Linked DNA regions of Mus musculus. The protein of the gene in region 6 interacts with the protein of the main gene of each other region in a pairwise test. Links are inferred from orthologs where the notes say so. Each region holds a gene or a part of one and is shown on either strand. Other genes may lie near its edges. The genes, in order: Zfp24, Spg21, Trim54, Slc25a48, Hoxb9, Mid2 and Utp25.

Region 1 (4,163 bases), on a different chromosome or scaffold from region 6:
CTCAGAATTTTTTCTTCTTCATCTGGATTTGGGATGATAAGTATTGAATCTTCTTCCACTGACTGTGCAGACATTCTGTTACAGTACTTCAAGAAAAGGCAATGGAGGCAAGGTATACACCTCAGAGAAATACCCTGTTTTCCTCAAAAGTACTCCTAAGGTATAAGAAACAGAAGACACATAAATCACCAAGTATCCCATGATATTCAAAAGCAGCAGCAAAAAAGATATGCTGTTTTACTGGATTAAAAATTCCAATTAATAACCTATAACCTATACCGATTGAAATTCTAACATAGCTGCTAAATTATAGCCAATCTAGCCTGCTGCCTATTACAGCATCCATAGTAAAGTAGTGTAAAAATTTTAATGACTAAAAAGCACAGAAGCGTTTCTTGTTGAGAAAATATGATGTATCTGTCCAGGATCAGCAGGGTCACTTGGTTGGCCAAGGCCTGCTGCCGAGCCTGCTGACCCGAGTCCGATGACCAACAAGTACATAAGCGAAAGCTTACTTCTGCACAAGCCGGACACGACGTGTACACCCCCCCCACACACACACACACAAATAAGATGTAAAAATGTTTTTTTAAAATGATTTATGGGCATTGGTGGTTTTTCTTGCATGTATGTCTGTGTGAAGGTGTCAGACCCCTTGGAACTGGAGTTACACACAGTTGTGAACTGCCATGTGGGTGCTGGGAATTGAACTCAGGACCTCTGGAAGAACAGCCAGTGCTCTTAACCACTAAACCATCTCTCCAGCCCCATTAATATGTTTAAATTTTGTGTATATAAGTCATTAAATTTAATTGTGGTTCAGGCTATAATGGTAAGAGTTGACAGCATTCAATGATTTCAGCTAAGATCTAAAACAACGTAATATTTACTATCTTGTCCATTCTTGGAAAAAAAAAGATTGCCAATCTGTGACATATGGTCAACCAAAGGTAATTTAATAACCTAAGGAATCCAGGTAAGAAGCCATCTATCTCAGTGGTCTCCAAATGCTCTGAAGCTTGGGACTGGAAAGCTGGTCCAGCAATTAAGAAGGTGTTCCCTTGCAGTGGACCCTGGTTTGTTTCCAGCACCACAAGCCTCTCTCTTCTAACCTCCTTAGGCACCAGGCAAACACGTGGTACAAATATACATAAGATAACAAACTAAACATTCAGAGCGGTGGGACATGTATAACTTTTTTTCCCCCATTTATTTTGTGCTGGAATGCATCAGCACAGGCGTGGAGGTCAGAGGACAACAGGCAGGAGTTAGTTCCTCCCTCCTGCTATGTGCAATCTGGGATCTTAGGAGCAAGGCCCCTACCCGATGAGCCACCTAGCCCATCCCACTTTTCTTTTCATTTTTTGCAAACCTGGAGTAGGAAACAGATCAACCACAGCCCCAGCCCGAACCCCCCGGATTAGAGACTTATCCAGGGACCTTACACACCCTCCTCTACTGCTGAGCTAACTCTCGGAATTGTGCATAAATACTATGTTGTTTGTTTAGGAACTCCCTAAACTTAAAATATATGTGAGAAATGTTCACTAGTAGCTAGCTATGTGTCCTAAATCTGTAACCTCAACACGGAGGCAGAAGCAAGGTTATCCTCGTCTACATGGCAAACCCAACCTGGGCTAGTAGATCTGTCACAAACTCTGCTTTACACAGTTCAGTAACCGATCGCATAACACTGCGGAAGAAGCTATTTCACATAACATGCAAATGTTACTCAGGCATCCACCACACCATATATACATTTAAACTTACAGTAACAAGTATCAGCTGCAGCAAATTCTATTAGGAAAAAGCACTTACAGTTCTCAGTGGACAGGAGTCTTTTTTCCTCAGTCAGCTTCCCTAACTTTTCCTTCGGGGAAATTTGAACTACTTTCTGGTCCTTTTGGTATTTGCAAAATCATAACCGTGCCACGGATAACAGCACATAGACACTCTTAACTCTACAGCTACTGTTTAATCAATCAGAGCCAAGAACCAAAAAACCAGAAACTTAACAAAACCTTACTGAAACCGGTCAAGGTGAAGACAAAGGATGAGAAAATGCTGTATCAAACTGACAGGTCATATAGATAAGAGTGGGATGGCCTGAGAACAAAATCCAAGTTATTTGTTCTTATTCCTGGAGCCGACTCTTATCAACAGCTCACGTATTTCTACATAACAGAAACTGCTTTTTCTTTTACTTTGTACTGCACCAAGCTCGTGGAATGTGCAATCCGGCACTCGGCAGGATCCAGGTCTTCAGCGACCTCCCGCCTCACAGCGCCGTGCCCAGCCTGCCCCAGCAACTCGGCCGTCCTCTTCCCAGCATTCACCAGGAGGGCCGCAGAGGCCCCGCCACACTGGACAGGCACTTCCGCCCGGGACCAGCAGGACTACAAATCCCAGTAGGTGGTGCGCGAGAACCGCCGGATCCCACTTCAGCTTGAGCGTCTCCCAGAATCCTACGCGAGCCGCCAGAGCCTCGAAATAGAACAAAACCGGCCCGTGGGGGAGGGGAAAGCAGGGCGGCGAGGATGCGGGCGCCGGGGGCTCTGCGGACCCCCGAAGTGCAGCAGGCCGCCGCGGCCCTTCCGCCGCGGCCTTCTGTGCGCACGCCCGGGATGCCGAGCGACGCCGGCCTCCCGGCCCCTACCCGCGCCCTCCTCCTCGAGCCCTACCCCCGCGCGCCGCTGACCTCTGGCTCGGGACCCGCCGCAGCCTCGTCGTCCCGGGCAGACGCAGCGCCGCCGCTTCCAGCCGCTTCCCACAAGCCCCCGGCGCGCACGGCTTCCGGTCCGCAGGACGGGGGGCGGGAGGGAAATGGGGGAGCCGATGCCCGGGGTTGCCATGGGGACGCGCGGTGAGCGGGGGAGGTGCGGCTTGATGACAATGGCCGCATTGAGGCTGCGCTTGGCCTGGCGCCTTTCGCAGAGTGACTGTTGCTCTCTGTTCCACTCCAGAGAAAGGAGAGGGGAGCAAGAGGGACGTGGGCGGCAGTTCCACGAGTGCCCGGTACTCCTCTCCGGAGCCCTCTGGTTAACTGACGAAAGAGAACATTTCTGAAAGTGTGCTGTAATCGGGTCAACCGCAGTCGCTACGTGTAAATCGGTTACATTGCCCCCGCACCCTATAGTGTTTGCTACTTAGGAGCTTTGGGCCCTGACACAAGGTTTGCCTCTAACCATGCCTCAAACCATCGTCCTCCACTAGCTGTGTCTCAGAGACTACGACAGGTTATCAAAGAAACAAGATGAAACTAGTTGAGGCCTTTGGCTAGTCACAGAGAATTGCAGAATACACGCATGCTGGTTGTTTAAGGCAGCTGCAGGTGTAGTCACTTAGATCGCCGTATTCCCCTTTTTAAAGTCCTCTAGTGGATCTCAGCTACCTTAACTATTGACAGAAATTTGTTACGTTGTCCCGTAGGTTGTCTATGGTCTGTTGCCTGCCTTTTCCTTCTGACCGTGATTGTGCATGACTCTTATTAAGCATGGGACTTATTGTGCAGCCTCAGCCTCACTGACCAATGAATGCCCTTTCCTCCAGGTGGCCTCCATATGCTTGTGGCCACCCTTAGAAGTGATCTTCTAACTTAGCTGTGCTTTGTTTGAAAGTCCTGTAAAGTTGGGTCCTCTAGGTCCTGGTTAGCACAGTACCCACACCTAGTTTCTGGATGCTGACTGGTACATAGAAAACTCAGTAAGTACACTTTGAATAAGTGAATGAATTGTAGGCTGGTCACATTGCATGAGGCCTTTGCTAGGTCACATGTCAAGTCTCAGAAATCGCACAAAAGAGCTCTGTTTTGAAAATACTCTTGTAAGAAGCATAGGTCAAGTTTGCAGAACATTGAAGCGGTCCTCAGGCTTTGCCCTATTGTCTCATTCAGGAAAGGGCCTCTGCAGAGTGTCCTCGCCTCTGCTCCCGTAGTGAATGAGAGAGCAGTAAACAGGCAGCTGACAGAATAGCAAGACTCAACGTTCCAGCCGGAGCTCACCTTCCCATAACCTCTGGAACTTTCCTCTCTTCACTATGAGACTCTAATACAGCCTTTTTACCCTCGGGTTTGGCTATAGCCAGAATCCGGCTTGGCTGGTCTCTGCAGCCTTTTCTCTATTGTGACTCCTGAGAGCTAACTCAAAGCATCTTTTTGTTTCTTT
Region 2 (4,240 bases), on a different chromosome or scaffold from region 6:
ATGAACTAACCAGTACCCCCAGAGCTCGTGTCTCTAGCTGCATATGTAGCAGAGAATGGCCTAGTCCGCCATCAATGGGAGGAGAGGACCTAGGTCTTTCGAAGAGTCTATGCCCCAGTATAGGGAAATTTCAGGGCCAGGAAGTAGGAGTGGGTGGGTTGGGGAGCAGGGGGAGGGTATAGGTGATTTTTGGAGAGGGGATAGCATTTAAAATGTAAATAAAGAAAACATCTAATTAAAAAACAAAAAAAAAAACTAAGCCATTTAAACCATTTTTAGCACATCTTTCACCATTTAAAACTGCTTTATTTGATAGCTTCATACATTTATGTAGTACATTTTAGTTAATTTAACTCTCCTGTCTCCCTTTAAGTTATTACTTTAAAATAAAAGCAACTAGCGGCATATACAGTTAATCCTGGAATATTTTATATCAGGACAGACTTGAAATACCACCACAGCATCTGTGCACTTCCAACTGGAAACATTTTCTAGAATGTCTGCAGGAGGGAATATTAAAGACAGGCTAAACAGCCAGGTGTGATGGCACACATCTTTAATCCTAGCCCTCAGGGGCGGACAGCTAGCTCTCTGGGAGTTCAAGGCCATCCTGGTCTACATAGTGAGTTCCAGGCCAGCCAGAGCTATGCAGTAATAGTAAGACCCTGTCTCAAACACACAAAGCTAAAACATCAATCAACTTGTTAAAGTTTACTTCTAGGATCGACCAACTTACAAAAAAAAAAAAAATTATCCACAGTTTTAATAAGATGCCACTCACAAACCAAACTAGGTACAAGCACACAGGCAGGCACACAAATGAGCTACCTACTTCTTTCCCACAGTGGCCGAAGGGTAGTCCTTACCGGGTCTTCAGTATAACTCACAAGCAGCTCAGTACTGACCACATTGTAACTAATCTTGATGCATAAGAGTTCCTACACAGCTGTGAGGACACTTTTGCAAGGACAGGTGATTCTAACACTTGTGCTGGTTGGGTGGTGAGGAAAGGTGAGACAGTTACCAAATGTTGCCAAATGTTGCGTAGGACCAGCTGACGGCTAGGAAGAAAAAAAAAAAAAAAAACCTGCTGCAAAGCTAAAGCAGCTGTGAAGGGTATGAAAAGGAAAGTTTGTTCTAGCTCTCTTTCATCCACTTAAGCCGGATGCTTTTCCAAGTCACAAGAGAAACATTCTTAAAAAAAAAAAAAAAAAAAAAAAAAAAAAAAAATCTGTGGCCCAGAAAGTTAGCTGAGACTGTGACCAAACTGGTCAGGATGAAAAGAAACATGGGCAGTGTGTTCAGGACAGATTTGCTTTCTCGTGACTCTGTTCTTTACAAAAAACAGAAGCACCTGTTCAGGCTGGTGAGGAAAGAGGCAGAGATAAGCTTTATCAAGGAAACCCCTCCTCCCGCTGGCCAGGATGCTAAGGCTCCCCAGCTCTTCTTGGACCTTGCGTTGCTGGACAGTAAGTTGGCTAGTTGTGAGAGAGCATGTACTTGGCCTTCAGAGTTTCAACAGAACCTGCAGTTCATAGCTGAGGAAATCGCCTCTACAAATGTTTAACACACGGTCAGTCACATATTGCTGGTCCTTTATCTCAATGTATAGGTGTCTTATATAGGGACAATCTGTGGTTGTTAATACAACCAATTAAAAAGGTTATTAGAACTAGAGAGCCTCTAGGTGACATAACTATGGTTCTCGGTGTTGGGGAACGCTCACCATGGGCTTTTACCACTGAACTACACCTAAGGCCCTGCGGCGGGCTGTTCACTACACATCTTCATCCTTCACCACACCTATATGTATTAAATAGCCATCTTTTTGGAGATTTCTTCAGGTAAGATTTATCCTTTCTCCAGGAACCTATCCACTTCTCTCTAAATATCATGAGAGGAGACGCTGCCCGCACATCTTTCTCTCTGACCACTCGTTTCAAGGTTCTGGTGTAAAATCTTTTTGAAAACTCATACACAGCTATTAGACGGCTTCCCAATGTGCAGAATCCTTGCAAAAAGAGAAGCTAGACCACTGCAGATGGAGACAAAACAACATCAGCCCCTAACTTCTAACTCCCTGGGAAAAGAAGAAAAAAGGGGGGGGGGGTTTCTCTCGCCCTGCTACACTCTTCATGACTCTTTCACAGGCCTCACACCTAGTCTGAGGTAGGATCTTTAAAACAACTCTACTCGCAGCCCTTAAAAGTTGACTGAAACCAAAATGCTCCTGAATTTCTGCCCCAGGATGGGTGGCTCAAGAAAATGAGGATGTCTGACTAAGGATTTTGGGCACCAATCGCCATAGGGGCCGCCCTGGGTTCCACCAGTTCAGAAACAACAACAATCCGCAATGAACCGAGGCTGAACCTTAGACAGACCCACAGGCACAATCGGACACACACAGGCGCCCGCGAGAGCGCACCACACGCACACACAGAGATATGGATCACGTGCATGGTCACAAGGACCTGCCCACTCGTGAACTCTGCTCGTAAGTCACGCATGCTCGATACACGCCCACCTACAACCCTACACGCACCACACACCCACACTCTTGCTTTCCAGGGCCTGCCCCTCACCTGCCGTGGCCGCTCCCGCGTCCCTTTCTTTCCAGCCTAGACGGATCTTCGCCCCGATTTGGGCGCAGAGGATGGAGTCGGCGGGGCGCGGACTGGACCGGCGGCCGCAGATCAGGAGCCCCGCGGGAGCAGCGGGCAGAGGGGGCGCGCGGCCGAGCAGCCAGAGGCCACCGCCTCCCAGCTTTGGTACTGCGAGCTCCCCGGGCGCGCCTCCCGCTTCCGGGTTCCGAGGAGGCGGGACCAGATGGCGAGGAAGGGGCGGGGCTCTGGTGGTTACTATGGCGACGGGGCTGGCAAGGGAGGCCCTGTTCTGAGATTTGCGGTGTCCTAGAGGCTGTGGAGGCTGGTGGTGGATAAGGGTCAGTTCTTGGTCACTTCTGACAGGAGCATGGAGGAGGAAGTGAAAAATCTAGGCTGTAGGCCCCGGGGATGTGCTTCTGACTTCGGTTTTTAGGCGTCTTCATGCTTTGGTGGGGAGACACTTTTGGTCCATAGCTTTGGTGAATAGGCCTTGACATAGTCTTTTTAAAACATTAGTATATATCAGTTCATTACAATGGCTTAATTAGGACATTTTGATACCTATATAAAGAATTTGGATCATCACCCTCCCTTAGTCTCTGCCTCCCATGTCCCATTCCCCTTCAGCCTCCCAACTGCATATGCTTTCTCAGCAAAATTGTTTTTACCTTTTGTATAGACGCTGTCCTCTGACCTCCTTTCAAAGCCTTGTCTCCTTTTATGGCTTTGTGCTGATGTTGAGGGGGTATACTCAGCGCTGGTTTGCCCTCTTCTGTCAGGCACAGTCTAGTCACTGTTCTTACGAGAGATGTGGCAGATGCCACAACACCTTTCAGTTAGCTTACAGCTTTGCTCTGAAATAATGCATAATAATATTGAGTGACCTGTCAATCTTGTTTGAAAATTTGTAAGGTTCCTAAAGCAAGATCCTAATGTTTTAGGGACTTTTAAAAATATTTTTTATTATTATTACTTTTAATCGTGTGTGTGTTTGTGGGAGAGAGAATATATGGTGCACATGAGTGTAGTTTATAAGGAGGGCAGAGGAGGATCCTAGAGCTGGCATTACAAGTGTTTGTGAGTTGCCTAACACGGGTGTAAAAGTAATATGTATTCTTAACCTCTGAGCAATCTCTCAGCCCCCACGTGTGTGTGTGTGTGTGTGCGTGTCCCTGTGCCTGTGCATGTACGTGTGCGTGTGTGTGTGTGCGTGTGCCTGTACGTGTGTGTGTGCGTGTGTGTGTGTGTGTGTGTACGTGTGTGTGTTGATGCCTGCTGAGGCCAGCTTTGGACCCCCTGGAGCTGGAACTGCAGATGATTAAGATGGATCAAGCCTGACTGGGTACTAGGAACTCAGCTTTGGTCCTCTGGAAGAGCAGTAAGTTTGTTAACCACCAAACCATCTCTCCAGGCCTAGAGAGCACAGACGAAAACAATGACTCAAAAAAACAAAAACAAAACCACAAAACAACCAAACACTGATCTATGGCTCAGGAGTCTTAGGTTCCAGTCTAGAACTTAGACAAACACCAGACACATTTTCCCCAATGCATAGTGATGTCTCGGCTCTCAAAAAGGTGAGGCAGAAGGATCTCAAATAGTGGTACTGTATCTCAAAGCTAACTGAATTGTTCAAA
Region 3 (3,500 bases), on a different chromosome or scaffold from region 6:
TTAGTTTCCACTCAGTTCTTTGTCAGATCTATGTTCAGCTTGCTTTGCTTTGGTTTTTCTTCGATCGGGCCTTTTCATGTTATCCACACTGGCTTTGAATCTGTTATCCTCTTTCCTTGGCCTCCCTAGTAGCTGAGATTACAGTGTTCGCCACCACAACAGGCCACTGCTGCTACATGGTCATTTTGCACTTTTGTTTTTTTTCAGTTCTGGGGATCTATCCGGGGCTTTGTGCTAGGCAAGTGTGCTATATCTCCAATTCTACCTTTTGTTGTTGTTGATGATGATGATGATGCTGTTGTTTTATTTCATCTTTTTTTCTATTTTTTTATTTTTTAAGATTTATTTGTTTTATGTATATGAGTACACTGTAGCTGTCTTCAGACACACCAGAAGAGAGCATCAGATCCCATTACAGATGGTTGTGAGCCACCATGTGGTTGCTGGGATTTGAACTCAGGACCTTCTGAAGAGCAGACAGTGCTCTTAACCACTGAGCTCTCCAGCCCCACTTTATTTTTCTTTAAAACAGGGTCTTTCCTTATACAGCCCAGGCTGGCTTAGAATTCTTTATGTAGTCTAGGCTGGGCACCCAGCATCCTGAGTGCTAAGACTTACAGAGTGCTCAACCATGCCTGACATTATTCTATCTTCTTAAAAACATCGTGTACATTGCAAGTTTCTGTTCTTTAATAATTCCAACATCTCAATTCCCTGAGGGTTTGAAGGGTTTCTGCTAATTGCACTCATGTGGTCCATTTCTCTGTGTATCTTCCATTGTGATTGTTGTGTTGATCTTAATCTAAGGGCCTGCATTGAAGGCATCTTCTTCCAGCTTAACATCTGCATTTGTTTCTGACAAGAACCAGGTGATATAAACGACTTCTTTGATATCTTGGGACTTCAACACAAGCTGAGGTTTGGGGAGTCTTAAATGCACCTCTACCTACACATGTTTTGCAGGTTTTGCGGCATGGCCTCTATCTCTAGCCTGTACTGAGCCAGCATTGGTCATGTGATGAATGTTATCTCTCCTGCCTGCAGGGGCTCTCTGGACCTGCCCTTCCCACCTCCCACCACCACCCCCCATCCCCACCTTCCTAGGATGCCCTTCTCCTCTCAAAGGCCAACTGGTGTGATCTTAAAAATCTCAGCATATCTGGAAGTTAGCTGTGTAATTTCACACTCTTGAGCGTATCTGGTCCTTTGGTGGATACCGTCCTGAAGTGGCTCCCGTTAGATATTAACTAGCTGATGCTGTGGCCATAACCATTGTCTTCACCTTGCCTGACCAGAGAAGGCAGTCAGGGTCAGGGAGGTCAGGTAACTGCCTCAGGGTCGTGTGCAGAGTAGAAAGCAGAGCTGGGGATTTGCCCTGACCACCCCTTACCTAAGTACAGTGAGAACTGCCCAGTCCTAAACCCTTTTCCCGACCCCTCCCTGACTAGATACCTTCTGGCGTTTGTAAATGGTGGGCAGAGGGGCCACCTCACAGTCCTTGTGGGCGCCGAAAACCTTGCAGAGAGAGCAGGTGGGCACCTCGCAGCTCAGGCAGTAGATGTTGATCTTCTCGTCCTCGTGCTCCTCACACATGAGGTGCTGTTCAGCCTTGGCGTGCAGTGGCCTGAGGATCAAGGGCAAGGCAGCAGCGACTGTCAGGGAGCCAGACTGTGACCAGTGGTCGGAAACTTACACAGCGTTCTCACTTTGGGGAAGAAACGATGCTCAAAGGAGACCTGGACCCAGGAAGAATCTATTCCAGGGGACAAAGATGTCACGCAGGACAGGAAGTCATGGGAGCTGATGAGGTCAAGAACATTGAGGTAGACTTTGGTCCCAGACCAGGAGGAGGGAGTAAGATTGAACAGTGTTTCCAGAGGCAAAGTCGGGCCTCCCTGGAGGCCTCCCCTCCTCCCTAGGTCTTCTTTCCCCTTTGTTGTCCTCCTCCCTCTGCTGGGGGGATGTCAGCTTACACAGACTAAAATCATCTGAGAGGAAGGGACTGCAATCAAAAAAATGTCTCCAAAAGATGGGGTTATAGACAGCCTGTGAGGCATTTTCTTATTTAGCCATTGATGGGGGATGTTGATGGGGGAGCCCACTGTGGGTAGGGCCATCCCTGGGCTGGTGGTCTTCGGTTCTATAAGAAAGCAGGCTGAGCAAGCCATGAGGAGCAAGCCGGTAAGCAGCACTCTTCCATGGTCTCTGCATCAGCTCCTGCCTCCGGGTTCCTGCCCTCTTTGAGTTCCTGTCCTGACTTCAGGAATGTCTATGATGTGGGAGTGTGAGGCAAACACAGTGCTCCACAATAGCAATGGAAACCCTAAACTGCCCCTCTATCCCCAAGGGTGCAGGCTCTTCCCTCCAGAGAGGCCAGCAGCCAGGCATCTATCTTACCGGGAGGACTCCTGCTTGTAGATGTCAATGATGTTCTCCACTAGCAGGTTCCGCTGCAGGCCATAGACACCATGCCTGTCCAGGACAACCTCGTGCCTACAAGATGGGCATCGGAAACGTCCTCCTGAAGACACCGTTGTGGAGCCCCGGGATTGCCACAGAGGATTAGAGGCCTGAGAAGACAGGTGACAGGACACTAGAAGTGTAAGGAGGTGTGAGGGAAGGCAAGTGGTGAGCTGACACGGGAACATTAGGTCTTCTCTGCATTTGGTGTCCCCAGACAACACTCTGACAGACGATTTCCTGCCTTGGCCTCATCCCTCAGCTCAGCTCCTTGAGTGTCCCCGCACACAGAGCCTCACTTTGGCCCAGGCCTGATCACTATCTTCAATGGAGTCCAGCATGGGGCTTTGACAGGAATGCTAACTGTAGGCAAGAGACTGGCAGTATAGCCAGTGTCCTCCAGCTTGGACCCTTATGAGCACATGTAAGGTGGTGCATATGTACATGTGCATGTATGTTTGGCAAGATAATATAATCTTGTCTCAAACTCCACGTGAATGGAAGATAACCTTGAATTCCTGATCCTTCTACCTTGACCTCCCAAGTATTGGGCTTATGGCTCTCTCTCTCTCTCTCTCTCCCTCTCTCTCTCTCTTTCTCTCTCTCTCTCCTCTCTCTCTCCTCTCTCTCTCCCTGAGACAGGGTCTTATGTAGTCCAGGCTGGCCTCAAACACTCTGTCTAACTACCTGCCTCTGTCTCCCAAATACTGAGCCATGAGAGTGCTTCTCTTTAGTCCCGGGAAGAGTCACACAACTCAAGTGCTGAACAGGGACAGAGGAATTGCAGCCAGGCTCGGGATGTGGCTCAAGTGGTAGAGGCTGCCCTAGATTTGATCCCCAGGGGCAGAGTGGCGCACTTGGGAGGTAGAGGTAGGCGGGTCTGCTCCATAGGAGGTCTAACATCATCCTCAGCTACATAGGGAGTTTGAGGGCAGCACAGGATGAATGAGACCTGTCTAAAAAAGAAAAGGAGAGAAAGAAAGGCTGGACATGGTGGCACTGGCGGCTTAGCTGAGGCTCTTTACACTGTGTGTCTTAGA
Region 4 (3,500 bases), on a different chromosome or scaffold from region 6:
AGAGATAAATACCCTAACAGTGCACTTCAAAGTTTAGAGAAAAAAAAAAAAAAACAAGAATTAGCCAAACCCCCAAGCAGTGAGCAGTAAAATAAATAAATATATAAATAAATTGTAAAGGTCCGGGCAAAAATTAGTGAAATGGAAATTTAAAAAAAAATCATCAGTCAAGGAGTTGGTTCTCTGAAACAATAAGCAAGACTGGCTACACACACACACACACACACACACACACACACACACTGAGAGAGAGAGAGACAGAGAGACAGAGACAGAGAAACAGAGAGAGACAGAGACAAAGAGAGACACACACAGAGAGAACGTTTTTCTGAAATCTACAATGAGACAAGGGTGTCCACTCTCTCCTCTCCTGTTCAATACAGTGTTTGAAGTCTTCACTGGAGTATCAGGACAAGAGAGGAAATAAAGAATATAAATAGAAAAAAAAAAGTCAAGTTGTCCCTATTTGCAGATTAGCATGATCTTATCCTTAAAAACCAAAGTATTCCACCCCAAAACTTGATCCATATTTTGAGCAAATAATCAGGGTACAAAATCCAGTAGTGATTCTATATACTAACAAATAAACTTGCTGACAAAGAAATCAGGAGGTGGGGTAGGGGAGAGGTCCCATCTACAAACTTAACCAAGAACAGGCTGGTAACCTCTAGCACCTGCTCTCCCAGTATCCTCCTCTAGCCTCACCAGCAGCAGCCTCACCCTCTGCCAGGCTGCTGCTGACCCAGGGCGGCTGCGTGCAGCTTACCTTAAAGCCTTCTTGCTGGTAACTCTGGGAGATGCAGTCCACGACTCCTCTGTATTTGTTTAAATAGACCCCATCTGCTTGGATTCGACTTTTCACGACATCCATTGGAGTTGCTGTCCCCCAGGAAATTGCCCCTGGGAAGTCAGAGAAACCACTTGTGTCAGAGCTTTCTGTCTGTCTTGGGTCTTCAAGGCCTGGCTTCCTGAAGATGCTGTCCTCCAATGCCCCCTCCCCCATCCCATCCTCATAAGTGGTGGGGGAACATGACTTCTGATCCTCTCTCTCCACCCACTCGTGGACCTAGTGGAAGCCTCCCACACCTCCTCTGTAAACTGGGCAGCAGAGTTGTGTTTATGAGGCCGGCAGGAGACTGAAGCAAGAGATCGGACCATGTCGGAGCTCCCCACACAGAAACATTATCAGTGGAATAGCGACTGCTTCTGTAGTCTCCCAAGCAGGCAGAGAGAGCCCAGCGTGAGACCTGTGACCAAAGGCTTGCAGTTATGGCTAGGTTTGAGTCTGGGGGAACTGAACAAAGCCCGTCTGTCACAAAGACTGATCACTGAGAAGGGCCAGCCTGGGAAAATGGAAAATGTGTAAAATCGTCTTTAAACCTGTGGCATAAAACTGAGAGAACACACAGAGGGGTCGTCCTTGCAGGATCAGCTTGAAAATTCCAGTCTGAGCATTTGTGTGACTTTAAAGGGTTAGGGAAATAGGGAAAAAGGAGGAGGAGGGGAAGGAGGAGGAGGAGGAGGAGGAGGAGGAGGGAAAAAAGGAGAAGGAGGAGGAGGAGGCCTGAGAGGCAGTAGGGAGCCACATCAAAGAAGGCATGTGGCAAACCACTTAGTGCATGCTGACTTCCCTCTGAATGAACTGGGGTTGTGGCCCAGGTGACAAAATGAGCAAGTGTGGCTAGCCTTGGATCTCTGTGACTGTCGGACCCCTGGGTATCTCAGGGCAATGCGGAGATTGGATCCCCCTGACCCCCGTACCTAACAAGCCTGACATTTAGCAAAAGTGAACAGAGATAATAGCTTCTCCCATAGCAGCTCAGCAATGCCTGCCACAGAGAACATGCTAGAATGCACCCATTGCCTCAAAGTCCAGTGAACTCACACAGAGACTCTCATAGCCCTGGAGAGAAGGATCTGGGAGGTCAAAGGGCCGTTCTCTCTACTAGGTGTGGCACAGAGTCAGTGAAAGGAAGGCTCCTGCATATTTGGCTGGATGAGGCCCATCTCCTTAGGACCGGGAAAGTTGTGGTAGGCTCCTCTATACTCTACCATTACTGTGGCAGGCCCAGGACCCAGGGATGGGACTTCCGTGGCTGGGGTCCTTACCTGCAATGCCCCCTGCCAGCCAAGCTGCATAGGGGCTGGGCCCTGTGCAGGCCTCAGGTGTGATCCACTCGCTCAGGAACACATAGGGAATAAAGTAGAAGCAATATCCCGGGATGTCTCTCAGCAGCATGGCGCTGGCTCCCCGGTACAGCCCTGTCAGGCCCTCCATCTGCACAATGGTTGCAATGCAGTGCACTGGTCCCTGGTATGCTGCCACCGCCCTGGACTTCAATCCATGGCTAGCTGAAAAGACAGGAAGGAGATGGTGCCAAATGACCAGGCACGTGAGAGACTGGCCAGCCGCTGGCACCACAGCCAGTCTCCTAACAGACAGTTCCCACTCATGTGGCTCGTTCATTTTTACCAAACTATCTGTCACCCTTGGCAACTTATACCAGAATTCTGAGTCTCCAGAAAGGAGCCCTGGCAACCAGATTGGAGACAATATAAGCCAAGTTGCCCTGGAATTCACAGTCTTCTGGTCAACCATCCCTATGCATTTCTAAGCAGCTGTGATTGAAGAAAGAAGACAATCAAGTCAAGCTCTCTCTTGATGGGGAATTAATAGTCAAATTATTTGAAACCAGGCTGTCCTGGATGCAAACCTTCCTCCACCACTTAACAAATGTCGGCGTTTTCTGCTCTTGTTTTCTAGTTCGTAAAAGACAGATCAAGAGTCATGGATACAAGTCAGGTCACATGCCAAGTCCTTGACATGCTGCCTGGAACAGTGTGGGGTTCAATAAGTTAGCAGCTGATAGTCATTGGTAGGGTCCACTGGCTGGCTAGAGGATGGACGTGTTCTGACTCATGCCAGCCCTGGCCTGGGCTGTGCCCTAAAACAGCTGCAAGGCAGCATCAATAACCCTCAACATCAAGGGCCCTGGATTCTGTTTCCTTTTGTAACAGGCCCCAGACCTTAGCATAACCTTCTCCATGATGGAAGTGCCATTCAGGCTGTAAAATTCAGCATGCGGAGAGCACCACCTGCCAAAATGAAAACAAAGACCTAATTCACCAAAGTCCATAGCTTTGGGAAGTCCTTAAATGTAGGAACCTTGATGTTTGACATCTACAGTTCTGCTTCTGTTCTTGTTAGCTAAAGTGTGTCAACCCAAGATCTGGGTTTTGTGCTTAAAATCTCACCCTGAAAAAGGCTCAGGCTACAGTAGAATACCAAACACCAAGTGTAGTCTAATAAAGACTTTCTATTGGCTTAAACCTATACCCAAACACTCTTCTCTGGTGGATACCCAACAACACTTGGAAGCTTGGGGGTCTATGCTGGCTGGTTGTGGTCTGTTTTCTCTTAGCTTGTCTGAGGGTATACAAAACAGTAGAGCAGTAGTCGCTCTGCCATCCGGTCCTCCCAGAGGCTACCCACCATCCTC
Region 5 (3,942 bases), on a different chromosome or scaffold from region 6:
AGGATTGTAGGCGAGAAGGCGGCGGGTGGGGGAAACGGACTGATGCCGGGGACTCCTCTGTACTTGCTACCGTCCTATGTCAGTATTTGGACCTTTTCCAGAGCGGCAATTCCGGGTGAAAAGCGCTAGAGTGCTGAGAATTTAGCTGGCCTCTTTCCCTTTTTGGATGGAAAGGAAGGTAACCCGGTGTTCCTTACTGTGCCGTTTGGGGAGTCTTCTTCCCCTTCTCCTTTAATCATTTCCCACATTAGCCCTCTCATCTGGACATTTTTAAGGGTCTCAGAGATTCCTGGATGAAGGACAAGAAATGACCATGGACCCAGCCTTTCACAAAGGCCCAAGAAAAATTTTAAGGAGTTAAACAAGACTGGTTAGTCTCCCGAAACTCTAGTTCCAGGGCCTGGTGTGTCTCTTTGGCCTTAGGCAGGCTATAATTTCAAGACAGATAATGATTCTTTGGACACTAGTCCCCTTTCGCCTCTCTCAGCTGCTAAAGGATCAAGGGAAGAGCCTAGTCACGTAAATCTCCCCAAATTGTGCCCTGAACCCCCTCCAAAGAGGATAACTGTCCTATAAAAGCCCCAACTTCTTTCTCATCCTTTTACTTCATCTCCTGTGGGTCGCTGTACTGCTGTTGTTTAATAAACATCTCTGTCAAGGGGACAGAGGACAGGAAATGAGGGCCCGCGGGGTGGAGGTGGAGGTGTTGGGGGGGGGCGACAAGACTACCTCCTCTTTAATTACCCTGTCGGGCCTCTCCCGCAGCTCTGAGGCTGGGGCGCTCTCCCTCCCTGTATGCTGGTCCTCCCCCCCCCCCCAATCTGCCTGGGGAGAGGGCTCCTCAGCCTGCGTCCCTCCTGAGGCAGCCCGCTGCTTGCCTCCGCCTCTCCTCCGCCCCCATCGCCCCATGTTGAGAACCCCCCTTCCTGTAAAAGCGGGAGGGGCCCGGGCGGCCCGGCAGCTCAGGCTGAGGTTACGTGGCCGCCGGAGCCCTGACGTGATAGCACATTGCATCAGCATAAAACAATCCATCCTGGATATGGAATGCGGTGAGGACGGATGACAGCGCGAGCGCAGCCCCCTCGCCCGATTGATTTATGTCGGAGCTGACGCTTTATCAGGCAGTCCGCAAAACTTTGACCAATCATTTTGCAAGGAGCTCCGAGCCGGGCTGCTCCACTGTACTTTGTTGGCTGAGAAGTTGAGCAGGGGGTGGGGGTGGGAGGGTGGGGGTCTGGGGGGGGTCGCGTCCGAAAGCCCTCTGCACCGGGTCCGTGTGCCACCTTTTCCCTGCTTGGGCGCCGCGGCGCGAGCGCTTCCCTTCCCCCTGCGAGCGCGCGGATAATGTCTGAGAATGTCCATTTCTGGGACGCTTAGCAGCTATTATGTCGACTCGATCATAAGTCACGAGAGCGAGGACGCGCCTCCAGCCAAGTTTCCTTCGGGCCAGTACGCGAACCCGCGGCAGCCGGGCCACGCCGAGCACCTGGACTTCCCCTCGTGCAGCTTCCAGCCCAAAGCGCCGGTGTTCGGCGCCTCCTGGGCGCCGCTGAGCCCGCACGCCTCGGGGAGCCTGCCGTCTGTCTACCACCCCTACCTGCAGCCCCAGGGCGCGCCGGCGGCCGAAAGCAGGTACCTCCGCACCTGGCTAGAGCCGGCGCCGCGCGCCGAGGCCGCCCCGGGGCAGGGCCAGGCGGCCGTGAAGGCGGAGCCGCTGCTGGGCGCGCCGGGGGAGCTGCTCAAACAGGGCACGCCCGAGTACAGTTTGGAAACTTCGGCGGGCAGGGAGGCTGTCCTGTCTAATCAAAGAGCTGGCTACGGGGACAATAAAATTTGCGAAGGAAGCGAGGACAAAGAGAGGCCGGATCAAAGTAAGTTATAAAAAAAAAAAAAAGTGAGGAAATCCCCCCCAGGCTGCAGGCCAGGCCCGGGGGAGGGGAGGGGAGAGGCCATAAAGCGGACAATGTAAAGGGACAGAGCGCCTGGGGCCGCAGGGCTAGAGTGGGTGGAGGGAAGAGGAAGGAAGGGGCTGGCAAAGCAAAAAGCTGGGTGTCCAGGAGGGGGACACTGAGGCTACCCCCCACTCCTCCTTGTGGCGCAGGGACTGAGACTCAGGGACCAAGTCTCTCTAGTCCTTCATTCTTCCCCAGGCTCGGGCTGGAAAAAGGGAGAGGGACCTGCGATAGAACTGTAGGAGGCCGGGCCGATGGCCAGCGCGGCCCGGAGCCCGCGCGGGCACGGGGCCGAAGAGCACTCGGCAGAGCCGCCTGCGCCACGCGCAGACCGTCCCTGCCGGCCAAGGGGAAGGGGGAGGGGGCTCATTAGGATTTTATTTGCGATGCAACAGCTTGGCGGAGGATTGTTCCTAGCAGATCTCACGCAGTAGCCGCGTCGGGTCGGCAGCAGGCGCCGGGAGGGGCGGGGGAAGCCCAGGATGCGGTGACGGAGCCCCCTCCCCGGTGCGCCGGCCCCTCCCCGGGAGCCTTCCCTCCGGGGGTCCCCCGCCCTTCTAGGGCATCCTCGACAGGACGGCCGTTTCTCCTCCTGCGGTTGCACGCTGATCTCCGCGGGGCTTCCGATCACTTAGGCCGGGCAGTTCACCTCTCCGAGAGTCTAGGCATCACTTGCTAAAGACAGGGCCTCCCTCTAGAATGGAGGAGAAGACACCCAAAGGGACCCCGGGGGAGGGAGGGGGAGGACTGCGCAGGGGCGGAGAACTCTACCCTTGGTGGAGAGTTTCTTACCACCTCCCACTCCTAAAAGCACCCTTGCTAAAATAAAACCCCAAGTGGAAACTGCTGCTGGCTGAGAGTAGAGGAGGCTTACTTTTAGGGGTTTGTTTTTAAGGATGGGGAAGACAAACTGGTTTGGGGCTCGCTCTTGGTCCCAAACAATACGGGACAAACTGACAGGTCAACTCCTCACCTCTTCCTCCTCTGGGCAAATAGTTTGGTCCTTGCTCGCCCTATTGGATGCCCCACCAACAGAGAGGCCAATGGGTCCTCTGGGGGCATGCTTGCCCTCTGAAAAGCAAGGAGAGACACTATTCCCCTGTGACCCTTGTGGTCCCCTCATACCTCCAACTTGCCAGGCTGAGTTATTAAGGAGCTCATATCCCCAAAACAGCTCCTCCCAAAGCTCCAGAAAACACCCAAACAGACCCCTCACCCCATGGCCCCAGACTAGGCCTGAGTTGCCCATCATTGCAAGGCAGCCATTTGGCTAGGCTCAATTATTAACAGTTTTTTTTTTTGTTTCCTCTTTCATATTTAATGAAAGAGGAAAAGGCTGCGGGTCCCATCCCAGACAATCACATTAAGGGAATAGCGCTGCAAATTGGCAGGACACGCTACTTAGTGTAGGATGAAGTGAATTTTAAAATATACATAGATATTCAGAGCTTTTCACTTGGGGGCTAAGCTGGTGGAGTGGATCTTGCTTGTAATTGGCTCTGCTTTGGGAGGCAGGTAACTTTTCTGAGTCCCGAGGTCTAAGGAGGGATGCTGGACAGAAAAAGAAAAAAAAACTGTATATGTTATTTGCTCTTTGTGCCCCTCTTCCACTCAATTACACCTTTCTCTGCCTCTCCATTGGGTCCGTTAAAAGGATTGGTATGCTGGGAAGGGCTTTCTGTCGTCCCCCCCGCCCCCCGCCCCCCCCACCTCATCTCTGCTTCTCTATCTTAGAGCTGTAGCAATTTTGCTTCCCAGTTTCCCTGAACTTGTGTTAACCAAACTGTGAGCTGAGTAGCAGAAAAGAAGAGGCTATTGCCACCATAAGTTATCTGGAAGCCCTGGGGCTCCCCGTCCACGGGCTGCAATTGATAAATGGTTGCAATTGGGTTGCTTGTGAGTCGGAGTGTGCAGGGTGTTCATGGCTGTAAATGCAGACTCTTATTTGTGGTGTGTGATGGGGAGGGCTGCTACCCAGACTCACATGTCT
Region 6 (4,124 bases):
GTGCTGTACTTCCTTTTAGGTAATGTGGTTGGGTTTTTCCCTTCATTTCCACTCCAGTGTTCTCTAGCAGGTTTGTTTAACAGTGCTGTTGGCTGACTGCTATTGGTTCCCTGATAAGACACACCCATCTACCTTCATTTTTTTTTCTGGATTTGTTCCCAAGCACAGTAATGGGAGGCCCATGTGAGAGGGGCTGTTTCGGATTGCTTTATTCCTTCCTCATTTTGAGTGGAGCTAGAAAGAATATCCTCTGAGGTGGCTTCCTTCTCTCATCTACCTTTTAAGTGTGTGTGTGTGTGTGTGTGTGTGTGTGTGTGTGTGTGTGTTGGGGGGAGGTGGTAGTCTTTGAGCCAGTGATAGGTTAAAAGACAGGCTGTATCCAGACCAATGGGAGGCTCCTGGCTTCCAAATGGATCTTATTAGGGACATTGTATTCTGGATGGCTAGCATCTGCCTCATTGTCCTCTTGGCAGTGACCCTTTTGTATTGGTCAAGGATCTGAAGGTGCAAAAGAAACCTTACCCCATACACTTTTAGTGGCTTTAATCCACCTGAACAACTTGTGCCCAAGTCCAATAGAACATTGCCATTCTCCCTTTGTCAAAAGAAAAAGGGGTTGGGTTTCCTTCAATTGTCTGCCCTTCTCTGTCTCCTCCACTATTTTTGTTTTACTCTCTAGTTAACTTTGCATACAACAGCTTCACCAGTAGGACCTGTGAGGAGGATCCAGGCACACTCTTTTCATTGGCGAGTGCAACAGCCTTCTCCTTGCTCTCATCTGGGGGTTTGTGGATGTAGAAGGGAGGTAGGTGGGTGAAGAGTTTGGCCACAGTCTTCCTTCTGCGCTTCACACACACCACCCGGTCGTGGACGCGCAAACACACACACACACACACACACACACACACACACACACACACACACGCTCGTGCGCGCCTGCTCAGGCCCCTTCTCCCTGTGTCTTCCATCAAGATGACAGGGTGCTGGAGAAAAGGCTGCTGGAATCAGCTGGTAGGTACAGTAGTAATCTGAACCCCACCCACCCACTGCCTTTGCTTGCTCGGGTTTCTCTGGTCACTCCTGCCAGGGGAGAAAACATGTAAGCGCGCCTCCAGAGGAGGGGCACGGGGAGTTGGGAGTGGCGGGGGCGGCGGAAGGTGAGCCTAGGAAGGTGGCCCAGCGCCCCTTCTGCCCGGCCCCTCCCCGTGCTCCCGTAGGGTGTCAGCCTCGGCTCTGCTTGCCCCCACTCCACCCTCCTTTCGAAGGGATTGCCTTTTTTTTCCCTCTGCTGCGGCGGAAATGACAGTGTGGTGCTGCGGTGGTGTCATGGTGCTGCCTCTGGACCGAGAGGCGAAAACTCTTTAAGTTTAGCCCGGGAGACCTAGACGCGGGAACGTCGCGGTCTCCGTGCTGTCCCCCGTGGGGCGCGCGGGCTGGCGGATCCCGGCTGTTGCGCGGCGGCGGCGGCGGCCGCAGCGGCGAAGGCGGGCGGCGGCCTAGAGTGGTGGTGGCGGCGGCGGCGGCGGCAGCAGCGACAGCGGCCCGGGAGCTTGCACGGGAGCCCGAGCCAGCTTGCTGCGGAGGCCGGCGAGCGCCCGGCGCTCCCCGGCGCGCGTAGGAGATGGCTGGCACCCGGGAACAATATGGGTAAAACGCGTCCCCTCGCCGAGGCCCGGGGGGATGGTGGTGGTGGTGGGGTGGCTAGTGTCGCCGCCCGCGCCGGGCTTGGCCCTGGCTGGCTCCTGCTGCTCTTCAGGTGCCGCCGGGGCTGGAACTGGCCGAGGACACTTGGGCTTGGGGGGGGGGGCGGCAAGAGGGGGGAGACGGGGTCCTGGCGGCAATGGCAGGGCCCCGGTTGTCTGTCACACTGTTGTGACCCGAGCTCCTGCCGCTGCCCTCCTGGGAAGGAGTTTGCACTCCTAGATCCCAGGCTGGGGACCGGCCCGAGGCCTCCCGCTTGGCCAGGCCGAGCAGGGAGAAAGCAGTGGAGCGGCTCAGCTCTCGTGGCGCCTAGGCGCAAGTCTGGGAAAGGGCGCAGCCGCCTTCCCACGCTCCCGAAATCCACGGCGTCCTCGGCCCGGGCGGCGCCCCGAGGTCGGCGGTTGGCTCAGTGGTGCTGGCGCAGCAGCCTGAGATTCTGTGGACACCCTGCGAGCGGGAACCCCGGGAGAAACTTAATTCTCCCTCCCCTTTTCCTCCCTGCTGGGGAAACGATCTTCAGGTCTCTGTCTGGGTGGTTCTTTATTTCTGGCCTAGCTGTGAAAGCAGCCCCGTGGGGGGGGGGGGGGTGGAGAGGGAAAAACTTGAGTGTGTCCATAGGACACACTGCGACTGAAGCAGGGACAGGGGAGCCTTTTCCATTCCGGGCTCATAAAAATTACTGGAACATTACTGGTTATGAGCTGGCTTGGGTTGTTTCGCACTTCACGTGCAGCATAGTATTTATTTATTTAGGAGGCATTTCGATTTAGAGGAGGAAATTAGGATCCAGGGATTGTTGGACTCTTCACTTTCCCCACTCTTCCACACTCCTTAGGTACTGTCTCTATTCAAGCCCCCACATCTCCCACCAGAGTTCCTGCACTCTCAGCTTTTCTCTGTCAACCTGTGCAATGCGGCTTCTTGCTTTTCAATCACTTTGATTTTTTTTGAAGATTTTGGAGGGTGGGGCTGCTGAATGGCATTAGTTGTGTGTCTGTCTCTAAGGAGGAGTATTTATGAAGCAAGACATTGGAAACTGTAATAGTACACAACTATTGTGTGGGGATTAATTAATCTGATTCTCGAATTGGACCACAAGAGTTGACTTTAATCCCATTCCATTTCCTCTCTGAAATCGAATCAGATCTCTGACACTATTCCAATAGAAGATGGAGTTGCTAAATGGAGAGTTTACATTCTTGCTCACTTCTGCTTGGGGAGCTTTTGCTGTACCCTAGATTCCTATCCCAGCATCCCCACCTTTTTTTAACCTCCTCCTCTCTGCTCATCACTGCCCCAAGGGAGAATCAATCTTTGCTATTTTTATATATTCCTGCTCAATCAATTAGCTTAACACAGACTCATAATATGAATTAGATTTCTCGTGATTGTTCCTTACAAAACTCGTTTCATGTGGTTGAAACACAAGCCTGGAAGCCAAGAAGATCAGAGAGTTCATTCCAGATGTGACGTTGCATTGGCTTTAAGGCCTTTAGACATTTGTATGACCTCTCTTTCACAGTTGCTTCACTTGCATAAAAGGCATAATATTGTGTACTGGGTATTGTGAGTATTGGCTTGGTCCTTTGAAGATAAAAGGATTCTATAAACCTCAGCATTATACTCTTCAATGAAAGCACTTCATTTATCCTTTATTGGGTTACTGGATTGACTGGGTATAAATGGGAACACTAATTTACAGGAACCCTAATTTGCCATTATTAGTTCCCTTGAGATTCAAATTATCATTGTAATTTAGATCTTAAGTCAATTTGTTTCATGAATGTATATGCAACTGAATGGAAACATATATACAATTAGGCATAGAAAGTAATGGTGATGATTTTAAGTCGAGTCATAAATCATATTGATTACACTTTACCCTAACAATGTGAGTCAGACTCATTTGAATATTCAACCTCACCCATTTTTTTAGTCTACATGGGGGGAGTTAGTTAATGACCAATAAAAGTAATATAGATACATTTAGGTCTGGCTATATAAGCAAAATTAGCACCTAGCAGCAGTGAGTCAATATTTTTCAAAGCACCTTTAATGTACAGAAGCCTCTGCTGTCTGTGTTGAGTGAGGACCTGCCCTTGACCCAGTATTTTGGGCTCATATTTGCCCTATGCTAAACTCTACTTACAGTTCCATGGCTCCATGGCTAGGATGCAGTCAGGGTGGGTGATGTGTGGAGTAGGGAGAGAGGGTTATGGCACATGAAGAGCTGTCTCTCCTATTTACTTTCATGACTACTGGGATTCCTGCTTAGCATGTTGTACCTTGCAAGACCACTTCTGAGAGGCACTTGCTGCAAATGAGTGGCTTGGTTGCTTCACAAACATATCATCTGAACAGCGCAAATTGACTTAGATAAAATTGGTTTGGTTAATCCCTCCTCTAAAAACAGGGCAACTTGC
Region 7 (3,500 bases), on a different chromosome or scaffold from region 6:
TGTATAAATTGTTGTGAGCCTTCATGTGGTTGTTGGGAATTAAATTTAGGACCTCTGCTTGCTCTGGTCTACCCTGCTCACTCCGGTCGGCCCTGCTTGCTGCGGTCAACTCCACTCACTCAGTCACTGCTTCCTCCTATCCAAAGGTTTATTTATTATACATTGTAGCTGTCTTCAGATGCACCAGAAGAGGGCATCAGATCTCATTATGGGTGGTTGTGAGCCACATGTGGTTGCTGGGATTTGAATTCAGGATCTTTGGAAGAGCAGTCAGTGCTCTTAACCACTGAGCCATCTCTCCAGCCTCTGTTTTTTTTAGAAATTTAGAAGTTTCATTTGCTAGTTTGTATGTCGTGTGTATGTGTGTGTGTTCCTGTTCCAGAAGGCATATGACCCCCTAGAAAGGAGCCACTTAGTATGGGTTCTAGAAATAGAGCATAGGCCCTCTGAAAGAACAACGGGCGCTCTCTCAGCCCTGACTAGCATTTCCTACGTGGACCATGTTTCCTGGGAAGTGTTTCTTCTCAAGCTCAAGTTTTGTAGACAGTGGAACTATTCTTATCTCAGACCTATGATTCTTCTAAGACAGATGATAGCTCACCTCTGCTTCCACCTAAAGACTTAAGAGTTTTACAGGAAGTTTGGGTACATCAACAACAGTTGATACTTACAAAGTGAAAATGAATCTGTAGCAGTTGTGACCCTTGGAGTGTGTCCTACAGTGTGTTAAAATGCAGCTGGAATGAATAAGGCAAGCCAGGTGTGGCAGCTCACACCTGTAAGCCTGAGGTGCGGGAAGTGGAGACGGATTACAGTAAGGTCATGGCCAGACTGGACTACAGGATTCCAGGCCAGTTTACACAGCAAGACCTTGTCCCAAGAAAGAAAACCCAGAAAAAGTCTGTTGATGGGTGATAGCATATTCTTTAATTTGAGGCAGAGCTAGTGGTACTGTTGTAGTTTTTTTGTTGTTTGCTATTCTGGGAATTGAACATAGGGTCTTGGGCATGGTGGGCAAAAGTCTGTCGCTAGACCATCCCTGTCACTGGTATTTTGAGATTCAGTCATTGAAGGGCAGAGGTTCTGCTTCCCATGTGGCTTCCCTTTTTGTCCAAGTCTGGGACAGCAGCCCCCAAAGTAACCAGTCTGCATTTCACGAGTCCCTTTTTTACATGAGCCATGTTTCTTTACACTGTGTATTTTGTTACTGTTTTTTCTCTGTTAATGTGTAAGGTGAGGGGTTTTCTGTGACCTCTCACGCCTGTGTGTCATATTTGCTGTGTTTTCCCAGTCTGTCCTCTCTCTCTTCCCTCCCACTGGTTCCTTCAGTAGTTCTTGTGGTCTTTGAGACAGTGTCACTCTGCACCCTAAGCTGGTCTCAAGCTCACTATATAGCCCATCCTGGCCTCACATCCTCCAGACTGCTGGAGTTCCAGAGTGCCCCACTATGCCTAGTTCTGAAAATTCCTTGTAAAGGAATTCCAGTAGCCTGTGTTCTTCGGAAGGGCCTGGGGATGACCAGTTTGTCTTACTAGAGTGTCCAGCTGACCTTGAGCAGGTCACCATCTGAGCCTTACTTTTCTCCTGTCATTTGGGAGACGCTAACACATACCTCATGGGGTACGGGGATGATGGGTTATAATGTTTACGGGTGCTCTGTAGTCAGTCACTAATGTGCTGGTGTTTATGGGTGCTCTGCAGTCACTAATGTGCTGGTATTTTGCACCAAGCATTTGATGAACCACATGAACCTGCTGCCCTTGGACTCACACGGGGTGGACTTCTCGAGAGTCCGAATGTGGAGCCTCAATAACTGGTCCAAGTACTACCGACAGACACTGCTCTTTGGTGCCCTGCAGGATGCCCAGATCAACTCTGTGTTCAACAAGCACTGCATCAATGCTCAAGGCCAGGTGAGTCCTGTGTCCTCGGATTGTCCTGAAGCGTAGACTAGGTTGGGTCATGAAGTGCCAGAGTTAATGGCATGTGATCAACAAAGGTTGCCTGCCTCCTGAAGTTCTTACCTCCTGGCAGGTGGCTGTGAGGAATGTCCCCATGACGGGCTCCATCAGTCATGTGTTGGTGCAGCTCCCTCACGTCTTCCAGAGAATGGAAGCACAAGACCTATCTTCAGTGATCGATGCCAGGTAACGCTACCCACACCCACAGAGCCTCATCTAGAGATCTGGTTTGGGATGCGTATTTAACACTGGACTCTGAGTGATTACTGATTATCAATTTAGGTCCCCAAACTGAACTCAGCCAGGCCCTTGACAGAGAAGGAATCAAGCCAGGTAGAAACTGGGGCTTGGTCTTCATATTACAGCTAGAAGCAAGGTTGGGACACGGCAAAATCACACCATTGCTGCTGTGGCCTATGGAATAATCCATACCATTTGACCTAATTATAAGCCCTTCAGAGAAGAGCAGATTGTCTGGTTCCCCACATGTGCCTTCTGTGGGCATATGTCTTAGACAGGCAAGGCTTATTTGCCGCTGAGTGAATGAGGGGCTGGTGTGAACTACATTAGTTCTCTGGCATACATGGAACCTGATCTGCCTTTACACTTAACTGTTAGGACTTCATTTCCTACGTGTTTATCAGTTTTATCCTCAGAGGGTCTTTGAAAAGAAGCTGTCTTTGGCCTCAAGGCATCTCTTGGGCTATGCCTTGCTGACCCACACTGTTGGTGCCCTACTGTGAGTTCAGCTGTAGATGTTAACCTTGTCCTTGGCCTTTCCTAATCAGGTTTCACTTTTTCATAAACAAGATTTTGCCTCAGTACCGGGATGCTGTCATGTCTCACACACTCATCTATGTCCCCTCCTACTTTGACTTTGTGCGTCTCCGAAATTACTTCAAGAAAGAAGAGCTGAACTTCACACACATCTGCGAGTATACGCAGAAGTCTGGGATCTCCAGGGCTCGACACTTCTTTCTGCAAGGAGAGAAGCAGTTTCTGCTCCTCACAGAACGCTTCCATTTCTACAAAAGGTAAGACAGTCTAGGCTCCACCCACTGAAGGACCTGGGCAGGCTCTGTGGGGCTGTACATGCGTCCCTTGCTTCTGCTCTGTGGAAAGCCACAGGGGTTGTATTGTGGGTTAGTGGGTGGGTGGTTCGTTGGTTGGGCATTGCTGGGAAGGTTAGAAACCAAAGCTTGAGCCCTGTGTGGTCTGGAATGCAGCTGTGGTCCCAACACCTCACAGAAGCCAGTGAACGATTGAAGAGCAGAACAGGATCAGCACAGGAGAGCTTGGGGAGGTGGAGGCTGAGTATTGGCTGCATCCCTGAGGAAGCATATCCAGGTGGCTGTCTTCCCCTGGAAAGTTCTGTCTTACCCCTTGATAACAGTAGTGGAAAAATCTCAAGGGACTCGGGGTTGAATACATTTTAGTTTTTCAATGGGTGCTTAGATTTACTGCTAGGTCATTAACAGAACATCTTGTTTACTTTTTGCTATTGCTTTTTAAATCCTAATTTGCTTGTTAGTTAATAAT

The links.
Region 1: the proteins of Mid2 (region 6) and Zfp24 interact in binary tests that used the Homo sapiens proteins (3 or more experiments, as listed by UniProt). The two-hybrid records come from large-scale screens. The link is inferred for Mus musculus from reciprocal best matches to the Homo sapiens genes MID2 and ZNF24.
Region 2: the proteins of Mid2 (region 6) and Spg21 interact in binary tests that used the Homo sapiens proteins (3 or more experiments, as listed by UniProt). The two-hybrid records come from large-scale screens. The link is inferred for Mus musculus from reciprocal best matches to the Homo sapiens genes MID2 and SPG21.
Region 3: the proteins of Mid2 (region 6) and Trim54 interact in binary tests that used the Homo sapiens proteins (3 or more experiments, as listed by UniProt). The two-hybrid records come from large-scale screens. The link is inferred for Mus musculus from reciprocal best matches to the Homo sapiens genes MID2 and TRIM54.
Region 4: the proteins of Mid2 (region 6) and Slc25a48 interact in binary tests that used the Homo sapiens proteins (3 or more experiments, as listed by UniProt). The two-hybrid records come from large-scale screens. The link is inferred for Mus musculus from reciprocal best matches to the Homo sapiens genes MID2 and SLC25A48.
Region 5: the proteins of Mid2 (region 6) and Hoxb9 interact in binary tests that used the Homo sapiens proteins (3 or more experiments, as listed by UniProt). The two-hybrid records come from large-scale screens. The link is inferred for Mus musculus from reciprocal best matches to the Homo sapiens genes MID2 and HOXB9.
Region 7: the proteins of Mid2 (region 6) and Utp25 interact in binary tests that used the Homo sapiens proteins (3 or more experiments, as listed by UniProt). The link is inferred for Mus musculus from reciprocal best matches to the Homo sapiens genes MID2 and UTP25.

The regions. Positions count from the first base shown.
Region 1 is NC_000084.6:24,018,014-24,022,176, forward strand, and holds the start of Zfp24 (zinc finger protein 24), read right to left. Parts: upstream 2,801-4,163; 5' UTR 2,699-2,800; intron 2,358-2,698; exon of another isoform or gene 1,819-2,357; intron 156-1,818; 5' UTR 75-155; coding exon 1-74. UniProt on the Homo sapiens protein: Transcription factor required for myelination of differentiated oligodendrocytes. Required for the conversion of oligodendrocytes from the premyelinating to the myelinating state.
Region 2 is NC_000075.6:65,459,497-65,463,736, reverse strand, and holds the start of Spg21 (maspardin), read right to left. Parts: upstream 2,801-4,240; 5' UTR 2,583-2,800; intron 1,037-2,582; exon of another isoform or gene 833-1,036; intron 1-832. UniProt on the Homo sapiens protein: May play a role as a negative regulatory factor in CD4-dependent T-cell activation.
Region 3 is NC_000071.6:31,130,112-31,133,611, reverse strand, and holds part of Trim54 (tripartite motif-containing protein 54), read right to left. Parts: intron 2,571-3,500; coding exon 2,398-2,570; intron 1,625-2,397; coding exon 1,453-1,624; intron 1-1,452. UniProt on the Homo sapiens protein: May bind and stabilize microtubules during myotubes formation.
Region 4 is NC_000079.6:56,462,355-56,465,854, reverse strand, and holds part of Slc25a48 (solute carrier family 25 member 48), read right to left. Parts: intron 2,353-3,500; coding exon 2,110-2,352; intron 901-2,109; coding exon 767-900; intron 1-766.
Region 5 is NC_000077.6:96,270,188-96,274,129, forward strand, and holds the start of Hoxb9 (homeobox protein Hox-B9), read left to right. Parts: upstream 1-1,142; 5' UTR 1,143-1,354; coding exon 1,355-1,871; intron 1,872-3,942. UniProt on the Homo sapiens protein: Sequence-specific transcription factor which is part of a developmental regulatory system that provides cells with specific positional identities on the anterior-posterior axis.
Region 6 is NC_000086.7:140,663,632-140,667,755, forward strand, and holds the start of Mid2 (probable E3 ubiquitin-protein ligase MID2), read left to right. Parts: upstream 1-1,324; 5' UTR 1,325-1,643; coding exon 1,644-1,647; intron 1,648-4,124. UniProt on the Homo sapiens protein: E3 ubiquitin ligase that plays a role in microtubule stabilization. Mediates the 'Lys-48'-linked polyubiquitination of LRRK2 to drive its localization to microtubules and its proteasomal degradation in neurons.
Region 7 is NC_000067.6:193,113,252-193,116,751, reverse strand, and holds part of Utp25 (digestive organ expansion factor homolog), read left to right. Parts: exon of another isoform or gene 1-1,096; intron 1,097-1,730; coding exon 1,731-1,913; intron 1,914-2,034; coding exon 2,035-2,147; intron 2,148-2,749; coding exon 2,750-2,995; intron 2,996-3,500. UniProt on the Homo sapiens protein: Component of the ribosomal small subunit processome for the biogenesis of ribosomes, functions in pre-ribosomal RNA (pre-rRNA) processing. Essential for embryonic development in part through the regulation of p53 pathway.